Linked DNA regions of Drosophila melanogaster. Changing the gene in region 1 together with any one later gene gives a genetic interaction. Each region holds a gene or a part of one and is shown on either strand. Other genes may lie near its edges.

The links. A genetic interaction does not mean that the proteins touch.
Region 2: of B52 (region 1) and E2f1, changing one suppresses a phenotype caused by changing the other (phenotypic suppression), as found in Drosophila melanogaster (one study listed by BioGRID).

Annotation. Positions count from the first base shown.
Region 1 is NT_033777.3:13,659,504-13,667,337, reverse strand, and holds B52 (B52), read right to left. Parts: upstream 6,028-7,834; 5' UTR 5,896-6,027; exon of another isoform or gene 5,637-5,895; 5' UTR 5,605-5,636; coding exon 5,479-5,604; intron 5,178-5,478; coding exon 5,107-5,177; intron 5,042-5,106; coding exon 4,934-5,041; intron 4,384-4,933; coding exon 4,287-4,383; coding exon of another isoform or gene 4,230-4,286; exon of another isoform or gene 3,884-4,229; coding exon of another isoform or gene 3,863-3,883; exon of another isoform or gene 1,886-3,862; coding exon 1,812-1,885; intron 1,749-1,811; coding exon 1,437-1,748; intron 1,255-1,436; coding exon 1,090-1,254; intron 983-1,089; coding exon of another isoform or gene 946-982; exon of another isoform or gene 920-945; coding exon 805-919; 3' UTR 447-804; downstream 1-446. Other genes in the region: Hrb87F (heterogeneous nuclear ribonucleoprotein at 87F), read left to right, coding at 6,951-6,998, 7,690-7,834. UniProt on the Drosophila melanogaster protein: Essential for development. May have a critical role in splicing or in controlling alternative splice site use of at least some pre-mRNA in vivo. Not required for all splicing. May play a general role in the condensation or decondensation of chromatin.
Region 2 is NT_033777.3:21,630,054-21,635,090, forward strand, and holds the start of E2f1 (E2F transcription factor 1), read right to left. Parts: upstream 3,021-5,037; 5' UTR 2,871-3,020; exon of another isoform or gene 2,080-2,870; intron 1-2,079. UniProt on the Drosophila melanogaster protein: Transcriptional activator that binds to E2f sites. Required for wild-type growth in mitotic and polytene tissues, Contributes to the expression of replication genes at the G1-S transition and Cyclin E.

The DNA.
Region 1 (7,834 bases):
CTTGGAAAGAAAAAATCTCTTTTATCCCTATGTGCTTTGTATATAATAGTGTACTTAATTCGTACAAGTAATTACTTTAAAAGCAAAACACAAACGATATATATTGTTAGAACCAAAACTTTGTCAGTTTATAAAACTTAGTTATGCATTTGATTTTAGATTGCTAATTCATTTTCAAATTTTAAATATTTAACTAGGATATATTTCAGCCAATGAGGTGTCAAAATTATCATTGGCGTTCTTCAAATTCAAGATAAATAAAATCAAATGAAATTGTAATTTTAATTCAGGCAAATAATGCGAAATAGTGAAACTAAGACTTTGTAATATACTTATATTCCGAAATTACGACAACAAAAAAGAAAAACAATAAACTAACTTTATATGATTAAAATCGTCGAAGTACTTTATATCCTTTTTGAAGTGAAACCAGCGAGCAAACATTTATAGTTTAAATTTATCCGTATTTATTGAAATTACTCATTGTATAGACAATTTTAAGTGTTCCGGTGTACAAGTCGCAGTAATTTCGTGGCCTATATGTACTCCTTGAATCCAAATCGGCACATTCAGCCGATCCCTGTCATCTTCCAGCCAATGTCCCATGTCCACAACAAGACTTAGGACAAATTGTCGTTATATATTTAAAAGAAAATGACGAGGCCCGACAGTGGTGGATTGGTATGATTTCATATTCATTAAGTTTTGGTTGTAGTCGGGGTGTCTGAGTGTTGATGTTTGTAGAATAGTTATAGTAGAAGTCTAAAATCAAGTGTTTTAATATTAATGGGACAGCTAACTAATCTAATCGTCCATGCTCTCGTTATTGCGGTCCGGTGAGGCGTTTCCATTTTTGGGCGAGGCCGAACGGGAGCGTGAGCGCGAACGCGACTTGTTTTCAGCCGATGCGGATCGATCGCTGCAAAAGAAAGGCATTGTAGTGAACTATAGAACGAGCTTTTGAACGACCACCGTTGGCGGGCTACAAACAGGTGCATCCAAACAAAACCAAAGAAAGCACGAAAGAAAGAATCGTGAACGGTCTATAATAATATGGAGCCATGGTCATCGCACTGTGGCCAAACTTACCGTGAACGGGAGTCGCGGTGGATGGACTTGGAACGTGAGCGGGAACGGGACTCGCGCTTCGAGACGGACCGCGATCGGGAACGGGAGTCACGCTCACGTTTGGGCGAACGGGAGCGGGTGCGGGAGTGGGACTTTGACTTGGACTTGGACACGTCACGCGATTTGCTGCAGCGGAAGTAGTGAAGTAATTAATTAGTGGGCAATCATATGAAGTAAAAAGCCAGGGAGGATCGTAATTAATATTTTCTATCGTGTAAAATCTATATAATATTAATATTAAAGCATATATCACAAAGAATTTGTGATTAAGTACGATCCCTACCAGACTTTATTCTCTCTCTACTTACTTGGATCGCGAGCGGGAGCGAGAACGAGACTTGACTGGCGACTTGGACTTGGAGCGTCCGCCACGAGATTTGGAGCGGCTGCGAGACTTGGAGCGCGAGTGCGACGAGCGGCGAGAGCGAGAACGCCTGCGGGATCGGGAGCGCGATCGGGAGCTGGACGAACGGGAGCGTCCACGTCCGCTGCCGCCGCCACCACCGCTGCGTCCTCCGCGACGATCCTCGACCAAGTGGATCCGCCTGCCGTTTAGCTCGGTGTCATCCAACTTCTCAATGGCCGTCTTCATGTCCGACAACGAGGCGAACTCAACCACGCTGCAAAGGAACACAATTGTAGTTGGTTGTATGTAAAATAATTTCAACCATTTTCAAACATACCCCTCATTGCGACGCTGCTTGTGGGCATCGGCATAGGTGACCTCGCCAGCCTGGCGCATGTAATCCTTGAGATCCTGCAGGGACGCACAAAGTCGGAACGAAAAGATAGTAATTAGTAAGTTTCAGCTTTGGCAGATGTCTCGCACATTTCGACATCGCACATCCGACGGCAGTGGTTGCAACTCAAAGGACAGCCCGTGCAGCAGATGGAGCATTTTGAATGTTTTCGGTATTATTTGGGGCTCCTAACCAAGTCCCAGCCTCTCACAAGTCCCTCTCTCTCTCTCACTCAGTGCCCTGTGTTCGTCTATCCTGTGCTCTTGTCGCGCCTGCCTACGTGTGGAAACCGAGAACCTCACTCCGGACGAAGGATTTCGCTTGGCCAGGAAAAAAGAAGGAGGAGGTGCCCAGAACGTACCGAACACAACATTCAAACACTCCACGCTGCACGCGGCACAAAACTTAAGCGTAAACAATCATAGTTAACAGTGGTTGGCAATTGATAGTAGATATATATATATATATATAGATTGAGTTGATTTGGTTTGGAAATAAATTAAAGTTAACAAAATAGTTGTAATTGAATTCTTACTTAATGCGCTTTCAGAGAGAGGAGGACACACACATCGTTTCTACACCGAGAGTTTAGATTGTCTGCCTAGTAACTGTGGGCCAATGACACCAAGGACACCTCATGACCTCATCGAAAGTCCGATCGAACATCGTTAACTCAACCAGTCAGCCAGAAGAGAACCAGTGGCCAGGCAGGCGGATGAGCGGATGGATGGCCAGAGCTCGTTACGTTTTGTTTGTTTGGATTTGGTATTCGTTTTCATTTGGCCACGTACGTACCACCAAGTACACAGTTTTGTTATGTTTTTCATGTACAACAGAATCATATTATAAATGGCAAAAAGGTATTCAAGTGTTGCGGTAGCTGTTTTCGTTTCGTTTCGGAGGAAGCCACACACCGGATACAGTCAGGAGGAGGTCAGATCAGATCAGAGCAGACATCGCTGGCCAGAACCACCGCACCAGAGAGCCAGAGAATGGAGCATTTGGAGCAGTTTGCCGGTCAGAGGCGGACAACAACCAGCGGCATCGGCACCTCACGCACAAACGAACTGCAAAAATAAGAAATACGTTTCGGGACGCTGCTCTCGCTTCTCCAACGGGTTGGGTTGGTGGTTGTCTAGTCGGTAGTCTCAGCCGGAGACGGGGCAGGTAGCCGTATGCCGTTTGCCGGAGCCGCAGCCATAAGCCAGAGCCGCAGCCGGAAGCCAGAAGAACCGGGAATGGGGGGAAGGAATAAGTTCGGAGGCACTAGCCGAAGTTGGTAACTGAACGCGCGACCAGCATCGCAGCATCGTGTCATCGTCATCGATCGATCATCGTCATATGCTCATCCCTCATCGTCGCCAAGACCATCACATCATCTTAGAATTAGCGAACGCAAGCTTCTCATCTAACCACACTCGATTGATTCGATTCGCACCCTCATCACACTCACAATGGCTATAAGGAATTTGACAATTCTTTATATAATATTGTTGGTAATTAAAATTGTGAATGTTTTTAGCAGAGAGTTAAATACCTAACGCAAGAGGCCAGCCCACGTCTTTTCAATCAGTGTGGGCTTTAATACGTGGGCTGGCCTTTTGACCCGGGCAGCTCATCAACGTCCATCGTCATCGTCTGCTTTCTGATTTCGATTTTGCATTCAGTTTTGGGTTCGATTCTGATCGACTTGTTCATTTCGTTATGTGTTCTATATTATGTTTTATTTGGAATAGACGACGAATGGATGAGGCGGCGGCGATGGCGCTTCGTGGAGGTCGGTCGTAGGTTGCAGATCGTAGTTCGCATATCGAAACCAATCTGGGGCGGCTCTGGGTACTGTCTCACTCTGTCTTCCACCGCATCTTGGTTTTTGGGTAACATTCTGAACCGGTCGGTCGGTCACTAGACTAGCTTGTCTTTCTCACAGCGATTCAATTAGATTTGATTCTCTTTCAGTTTTAGATTCGGCCCCAAGCCGAGGAGGGAATCTCTCAGTCAAAGCACATCAAACTCTTTTTATTATCGGTTTCGGTTGGTGTGTGCAAGAGAAAGTAATGGTGGGTAGATTACACCGATCAGTACCAGGGTTTTAGCAATATCTTTTGTTTTCGTGTTTCACTTAAGTCTAGGTCAACTGTACAGCTTAGGGCTAGATTACAGATTATAGAATTGGCTCTAGTCAGAGTGGAGGAGGAGTTAAAACACAAAACAGGACGAAGACACCGGAAAGTAATTCGAAATCAAAAAGGGGCTCGAAAAGGTTGGTTCTGGGATGGGTAAGTTGATTAATGGGTGTTTGTAATAGTGATCCATTTCAGTCGGTTAGCCGTTTTAATTCTAGTACTACACTCCTCGAATCTAAGCTACAGTATATACCACGCCCAAGGCGCGATACATCGATCCATGCTCACTTACCTGCCAGCTAACGCGGCTAGACAAATTCTCCACAATCAGTCGGTACTCAGTGCGCAACGGTGGGCCATAACGAGAGGATGATCTGGAATTTTTGTTTCTGGTGAATAATTGAATGGATTCGCTAATTAGTATTGACACTGCGCTGCTGCTCCTGATGCTCCATCACAAAAATTAACGGTAATGGTGAATATATTCCAGCATATGCATATTTACATTTGGGTTATGCGCAACAAATCAAACATTTTACATACTATGCGGATGGGTGGAACGTGCAAATAAAAGCAACAATAGTATGCATAGGAAAACGGAGCGTCTTGGAAATGATAATATTAACAGCAAGTCAGTGTCTTTTGGTTCCCTTCCACGCAGAAGAAATCAGCTTATACGATTGCACTACCAAAAGTGTATAAAACTATAGAAGTCAATATATAATAAACTGATGTTTTTTATATATATCGCAAGTAGCTAATATTATAGGTATATAGATTTTGCACGATCTAAGCTGGTTGCATCTGTGTGGATGGAGATATCAAACGAAACAAATTGGCAGTGCTAATTCTAGGGCAAACTTCAACGCAAACAAAGTTGGAGGACGATATCGTCGCTACTTTGGTCCGGTTTTAAGGTCCGCTGGCAGTACTACTTACTTTTCGTTGTAACGACCGCCCCCGCCCCCCCGCCGACCACCATATCGATCGTCGTAGCGGTCGCGGTTGCTGCCACGAGCGGTACCCCTGGCGGGTTCAACAACCACACTGCAAAAATATAGAACATACAATCGTGAGTCATTTCGTACTTTGGCTTATATCTAACAACTCACCGTTCGCCAAGCAGCTCTTTGCCATTCAGTTCATAGACGGCATCGTCGGCATCACGATAGTCTTCGAATTCCTGAAAATTCAATTAGTGATTAGTATTGATTATGGAATTAGTATTGAAGCTACCCTGCCTGTGCATACTCTTATGGAAATACGCTGGGTGAATTTAAGAACAGTTTTTAAGCGTCACTGTATTTGACAGACAAATGATGGAACAAATATAGGTTCAAAAAGAAAAAAAAAGTATTCAAGGGTCGGCTTGAAATGTTAGGAAACCTATAGACAAACAGAGAAATGCAGAAATGTCTTCAAATCAAATTTAACCGATTTTTTTTTTTTACATATTCCAGTTAAATATGATATTTTGTACTCACCACAAAGCCGTAGCCATTTTTGATGAGGATGTCGCGTGTGCGGCCGTAGCCTTTGAAAAAGCGCTCCAAATCGCGCTCGCGCACTCCGTAGGGCAGACCGCCCACATACACTCGAGATCCCACCATGATAACGGTTCCTTACGTATCTGGAGCAGGTGCTATAAAATAGTGAAGTATATATATATATATCAGCAAGGGAACCGTTGCAGTTTGCAGCTTCTATTTTGCTCGACTGTCCTTTAGGAATGGAAGAAAAAAAAAACGCACATATGTACGCGCCGTGTATGTTTCGCCAAGATGGCGGCCACCACATACACACACACACGCTCGCAATGTACCGGGTGTACAGAACCGCTGCAAAAACGAGTTAATTTAACAACGCGAAATACGCGCTGTTCTTCACTTAAGCGTACTCACTAGCACGTACCGTTCAGTGAAGGATATTTGTGGCAAATTTACAATTAAGTCGCTGCCGTACTCTCTCTTTTTCAGGCTTTCCCACACGAAAAAACGCAAGCGACTCGACACAAACGGAAGTGAAAGTGACAGACGAAAGCGATGTTTGACAGTCATTCCAAAGGCGGAATGGAACGATACTTTTTCGCCTATCGATATTTTGGGCGGGCAATGCGTTTCGCTGCGTTAAGGGTATTCCAGTTGCTGTTCGTGTTCCGCTATGAAAAGAATAAACATTAAATATACTTAGTAGTAGCATTTGAATATACTGTTAACAACCTTTTTATTTTGATATCTGCTAGCAAGCACTCATTAGCATTTTTTAACGTTTCTGATTTGATGATATACATAAAATGTTTCTGGATTTATTAATTTATTTCGCACGATGTCTTTTTTTATTCCCAAATGCCTCATAGATCCCGTAATTGTAATATTGATTGACCCTTAGCTGGCTACTTACAAATATACAATTCAATACAAAATAATTTACAAGTTATCTCTTAAAGTGAAGCCTTCCATCGCCCCAGCTAAAGCGAATGCTCGCAGAAAGAGTTATGTAAGCGGTATTAATAATAATACATATTTAGCTAAAAAGTTAAACATATTAAATGTTTCTTGGGTTATCGTGGTAGTAATTATCATAATCCATTTATAAAGATAATACATTCAAATCCGTTTGTTCAGAAATATATACAATAAACTTGTCTAATATTTTTAAGCCCTTACTAGACGAATACAAATTTATATGAAGATATATAAAATCAAGTGTGGCATCAGCTTAATTGTCGAGGAACACCCCTAACGCACCGAAACAATCGTTCCGATTCCACGTGGCGTCCGATTTTCCGACTTTACCCCGTTCTCGACACCTGGTCATACTGCTCACTCCATTCTCATTGTGCGTGCTGTACATTTCATTTATTGCCAGTCTGCCGTCAAAAAAGAACAAAAACAAAAAAAATATTTCCTGCGTTCGGTGTTTAAACTTTCCATCTTCTTGAACAACCAAGGAGAGAATGGCGGAACAAAACGATTCCAACGGAAACTACGACGATGGTGAAGAGGTGAGTTGCAGAATGACCAATTGCTGTTTGTAAATCGTTCATCGCGCGTGAAAGTGCAAAATGTCGACGCCGACAATATTCGTGTATAATATACATTCACGCCGCTTTTTTACCGAATTATGGGGGCCATCGATCCCTGTGCGAATTTAGCCAGCTAAAAGTTTATCGACCTCTTTTGGCGAGAAATATAAGCAATTTCCGATAAAAAAGTTGCCGGCTGTTTGATAAAAAAGAAAACGAAAATTCATACATACATACACATATACGGGCTGTCATGGCGGTGCAAATACTAAAAAAAAAAAAAAAAAATATGGCGAGCGGCTTTTTCTCGCCAGGTAAATTACTATTATAAACAATGGCAAATCCTTGTTGATCAAGGATGATTTTGCACTTTTATCGTTTTATTGACATAAACTTATTGACTTATTGACAGCAACTTATTTTTTTATTAAATTTACAGCAACTTATTATACATTTAAATATTTTTTATACATTTATTCATTTAGATACAGTATGATTTTTTTTTTTATTATATAAATTTATACATTTTTCGCAAAGTTTGTCCAAAGAAATCAATTAATTTAATTTAATATTACAACTTATTTTCGAATCAATGGGTTTTTTTTTTGTTTTTAGAAATTATTTAAATTATAGAACGTCTTTAGCTAATGCATTTGAAATTCACCCGCAGATCACCGAGCCAGAGCAGCTGCGCAAACTGTTCATCGGCGGACTGGACTACCGCACCACAGATGATGGCCTGAAGGCTCACTTCGAGAAGTGGGGCAACATTGTCGACGTGGTGGTGATGAAGGATCCCAAGACGAAGCGCTCTC
Region 2 (5,037 bases), 8.0 Mb from region 1:
CCTCCCTTCACCTTTTCACTGCCACTACTCTGCTCTCACGTTCTCCGTGTTAATTTCGAATTAGTATAGCAACAATAACCGGCCGCAAGGTGTAGTGAAGATTGTTAAATTAACGGATCTTTACTCTTTATAACTTAAATTTAGTCTGCCCCCGAATAATAAATATGCCCAATTGCAGACATGAAATCTCAATTCACTAATTAATAAAATATTAGCTAAAATCCCAATTCGAATGCAACTAATGGCTGGTATTTAATTTGCAGCCATAACTGTATTCCTCTGGCATGCCAATTTACCGTTATTAATTATGAAGATCATGCATTTACATGGCTATTAATTATATACGTTGTTATGTATGCAGACTCACGCACACACAGGCATAAGCACAAGCACACGAAAACATACATATGTATGTACATGCATGCTCACTAACACCCACACAGATACCAAGAGCTAATAAAAAGTTTCGCTTTCTTTTTGCACATCATTTTGCATGCGCAGTAAAAAGGCAGGGACAAGTGAAATAAATACAAATAAATAATGTGCGAGTGTGCAAGGTGTTAAGCAACAACAATTGCAATAGAGGGAAAAAAGTGAATCAAAAGCCAGAAAAAGAGGAAGAACACGAATTTTGTGTATTAAGCGGCAGTCCAGAGAGAGAAAGAGAGAGTCTCCCACGGTGTGTGTGTGTGTTGGAGGGGGATGCTGCTAGGGAAAAGAGACTGAGAGTAAAAGCCGGCCTGAATCCGAATAACAGCTGTTACTCACAGACACAATCCACATGGAACATCTCTCTTCATCTTTTTGTTGTTGTTGGTCCCATGGATGCTTTTTTCTAGCCGGTTTTATTTTCTCTATCATCTTTATTTCATTTGGTCAATTACACACACTTGGCTTCTTTCTTATGAACCGCAAGGACCGAGACAGAAGGCAGCCACTTAATTGCACACTTACAGAAATGAAATAAGGTAATAGTAATATAAAATAAAACGGCTGTAAGCCTCGCCTTAGCTTTTTTCGTTTGAGAAAGCCAAAAATAATTGCCAACTGGCCAAGTCAAGAAAAAGAGAACGAGTAAAAGAGAAGGCGGCTTTTTGTCCAGGGAGAGGCGCACAAAATGCGTCGCAAAATATTTCGCCCACAGAAAACTGCAAACATAATGAAAGCCCGGGAAAGGAAAAATTATTGCGTGGGTGTGGAATATCAATGCCGGCAAGGAAAGCAGAATGAATTCCAGGGAAGTCCCCTTTGCGTTTCATACACCAAAATTTTGTACATAATGTACAAAACTTCATTTCGCCTGGCCATTTACGCGATGACGCATTTAGAGCCAATCGAATATTGTGTACTCACAAGGCCTGATAACAGGGGCCACACATAATGTACACACTATGTGGTGCAGTCGTCAAGTACATGCACAGATTAAAGCGGAAAACTGTTGATGCAAGTCCAATTAACCCGACGAAACTGGTAGAAGTAACCGGCAAATTCAAGACCACAGAAAATATTAAAGAGACAAATGATCTGAGATTTTAAAACATTTAGATCACTTTAATTTGTAAAACAAACACATTACCTAATTATTACATGTCTATTGAACATTTCAGTTGATATTTATGACTGCAGTGCAGCTTTAATTTTGCATTCCTCAGTATCCACGTCAACACAAAAACGCCAGTTAGTTGGCTAATATTGTGCTGGACGGTTTTACACAATTAATTTTAACTTGAAATGTATTTTTGTCCATATCTTCGAAGAAAAACCACGAGTTCTTCAAACTGTTACCTGCACTGTTGTCTTAACATCTAGTAAAATGTTAATCTGGGGGGCGCCATAAAGAAATCGCCGCCGACTTTGGGCAAATAGAAATAAAAACTGATGGACTCCGAATTTTCGATTCGTTATCTCTGAAAACTGGAGCGTTGGGGGATTGAATGAGTGAGCGAATGACTGCTATTCACCGTATCGGTTTTGGAGGTTATTAGAGGGCTTAGCCCAAAATTGAATGATTAATTGATCATCAAAGGTGAGGTGGAAACTCCCTTTGCTTCTTTTTTTTTGTCTTGTTTGAATACGCACCTAAAAATGGAATTTTTGTTGGTTTTACTTGCTTTCTATATATCACACGCAACCACAACAAATTGCTCTGCTTTTTTTTCCACCGCCGCCTGCTTCTTCTTGCTCTTTTTGAATATCACACACGTTTCATATTTGCAAATTTTTCATTTTTTTGCGGGCGTTTTGCCTTTTCTGTCGGTTACTTTTTGTATTCCACGTATAATGTGCTGCTGCTTCTTACTCGTTTGACTCAGTCTGTGTGTGTGCGAGTGTGAGTACGTCGGTGGTGTGGGAACTTTTAACTTTACTACGCGACGTTTTCGTTTCTCTTCTTTATTCTCTATATATTCTACGATTCTGTGCGTGACGTCAGCAGTTCGAGCATTTGTTGTAGATATCACATAATTGTTACACGCCCGCACTTTTATTTTATTTTATTCTTGATTTTTTAGAGCATTTGCTATTGCTACTCAGCGACTTGAATCTTTTACTTGCAGAGGCAGTCTTTTGCGGCTTTTTGGTTTTTCTCTCAGTTTTCCATTTTCACATTTTTGCGGACTGGCGACGAAAAGCGAACTGAACTTGGGCCACAAAGTGTGTTGTGCCGTGTCTTTTTTGGAGTCGCCGTCGCCGGCAAAACGCAATCCACACGCGGAGAAAGAGAATCGGAGAGACACGAGATAGAGAGAGAGAGCGAGAGAGGGAGTCGTCTTACGTCAGACGGAGAAAACGTAAGCACCACCGTAATGGCACTTTTAATACCGGCCACTTACGCTTAATTAGTGTATTAAACCACATTAACTTATCAATACCTCAGTCTTGTACTCTTTTCAGTTAGCTTTTCTATTTTTTTTCGGATTTTTCCGTCGATTTTCCCCTCGTAACGTGTTTTCTGCTCGCACATGTGTGTGGGGGCGGCAGCGGCAACAGCAGCGTCACGACGCGACAACAACACTGAACGCGGCGAATCGACAGAACAAGCAACGAGCCACAAAACGCACGGCGTCTCTTGTAGCGGCGAATTTGAGGCGTCAGCAGCTGAGCGCTCGCGGCACGAGAGAGTGAGAGCAGAAGAGAGTGGATCGTAAATTGAGTGGAGACAAAACTGATCAAACGATAGCTATTCGATATTACGATAGGTTGTCAATTCAAAAGGGAACGAATATTTTGGGTTATTAATATTTTGCAATGAATAAATACATTTGAGTGTTAAAAGAAAAATATAATTATTTATAAGCGAAGTTAAATACCTATAACAGCGCTGTTAATCACTTCCTGAATTGTTTTTTAAATGCTACATTATTTTACCTAATATCAGCTTTTAATTAAATCTTTGGTCCAAGTTTTATTTGAAGTTTTTAATTTTAAAATTCTGTTGATATAAAAACTAATGCTTGAAGCTAAGAGAACCACGCTAATTGCAGCGAATTAGCGGCAACAGCTGAGCACGAGAGAGAACGAATGTGGAGAAGGGGGCGGAAAGCGAAAGCGCAAGAGGGTGGAATGTGAGTGGCGCCGCTTCCTACTCTTCACATGTGGCATGTGGAAGCCAGACTCGAATGTTCGGTGAGAGCGGCTTTTGCTTTTGGCCCCCAACCCTTTTCGCTCTCTTCGGCTTGCCGGCTACAAATCGGCTAAAAATCGCTCAGACGGAAGTGGCGACGTCGCTGTTACCGCACCCACATCAACAGCGACGCCGGCAGAGAACCTTTCCCCTCCCGCTCAACCAACCGCTTCACCATCTTCTTTATCTTTATCAGTTGTGTGCCAAGTGTTGCATTGCGTTGCAGTGACGACATTGTTGTAGTTGCAGCAGCACAGCAGCGTTGCCGATTTTCAGCGCCCCATCAACAAGGGGTACACTTTTTAAGGCCGGAAATAGGCATTAAATGGGTCTATCGCATAACTCGACACTGTCGCACACAAATCTATTAATTTCTACGTATCATAAAAATTATGCCTGAGATTAAAGCCAAGTATGCTCATCTCACAGCTCACAGCTTAATCATATAATATACCTTAAAGATTTGCAACTTTATAGAGAAAAGTTAGTATTTAATTAAGTAAATACTAACTGAAGTGTAAAAATTCACCTATTTGCTGAGCAACTGACCTGATTAAAGAAACCTGCTCAAACATTTGACTTTCCATTCTTATATTATTTGTTATTCCACTATTAATCTACTTTAGTGCAAAAGCACTTTCTACTAAACAAACAATACTCATACATTCTGGAATAATGCAAAGTTTGTACTCATAAATATCCCAAAATCGCTACCATGTCACTTTTTCTAACAACAATCTGATTAAATATTTACAACTCATGCCCGCTGCCATTTGCATTCCTGGTTTTGTGTGCACAAATGTATCTCGCAAATCAGTACAACTTGCCAGGCGATCTGCGCAGTGTTTCCCATTCCCATAATCCCAAGCCCAGTAACTGAGAAACATCCCCCCCCCCTCCTACCAGAAATGTAATCTCCTTTCCAGTTTTCGATTTCTATTAACTTTTTAGGCAGTTTTTTTTTTTGGATTCGAGGCTGTTATCCTTTGGGTTTCTCTTGGGTGGGTTGCTGAGGCGAGGACACTCACAGATCCGTGAGTGTGATTTTTTTCACATTTCCCATAAGCCAGACCGGCAGACAAGAAGAAGAAGAAGAAGAATGAGAATACGAATATGAAGAAGAGGGGCGAGAATCACCCCTCACGGACGCAGAAAGAGAGGAAGAACTTTGGCCCCTGCGCCTGCCCCTTCCCCCTTCCCATCCCTTGCCCAACACATATGCAATTAGAGTATCTCTATGCTTGATTTTTTTTCAACCATTTTCTGCAAGATGGTTTTTTTTTTTCGCCTACCAGATAGAAGAGCGCAAGCGGGAACTTCCCACGATCCTTGGGTGGACTTTTGTACTTTGGAAGACATTTTATGTGCGCAGTGTCATAAATACTTTTAATTAACTGGAAATGCGTGTGCGAGTG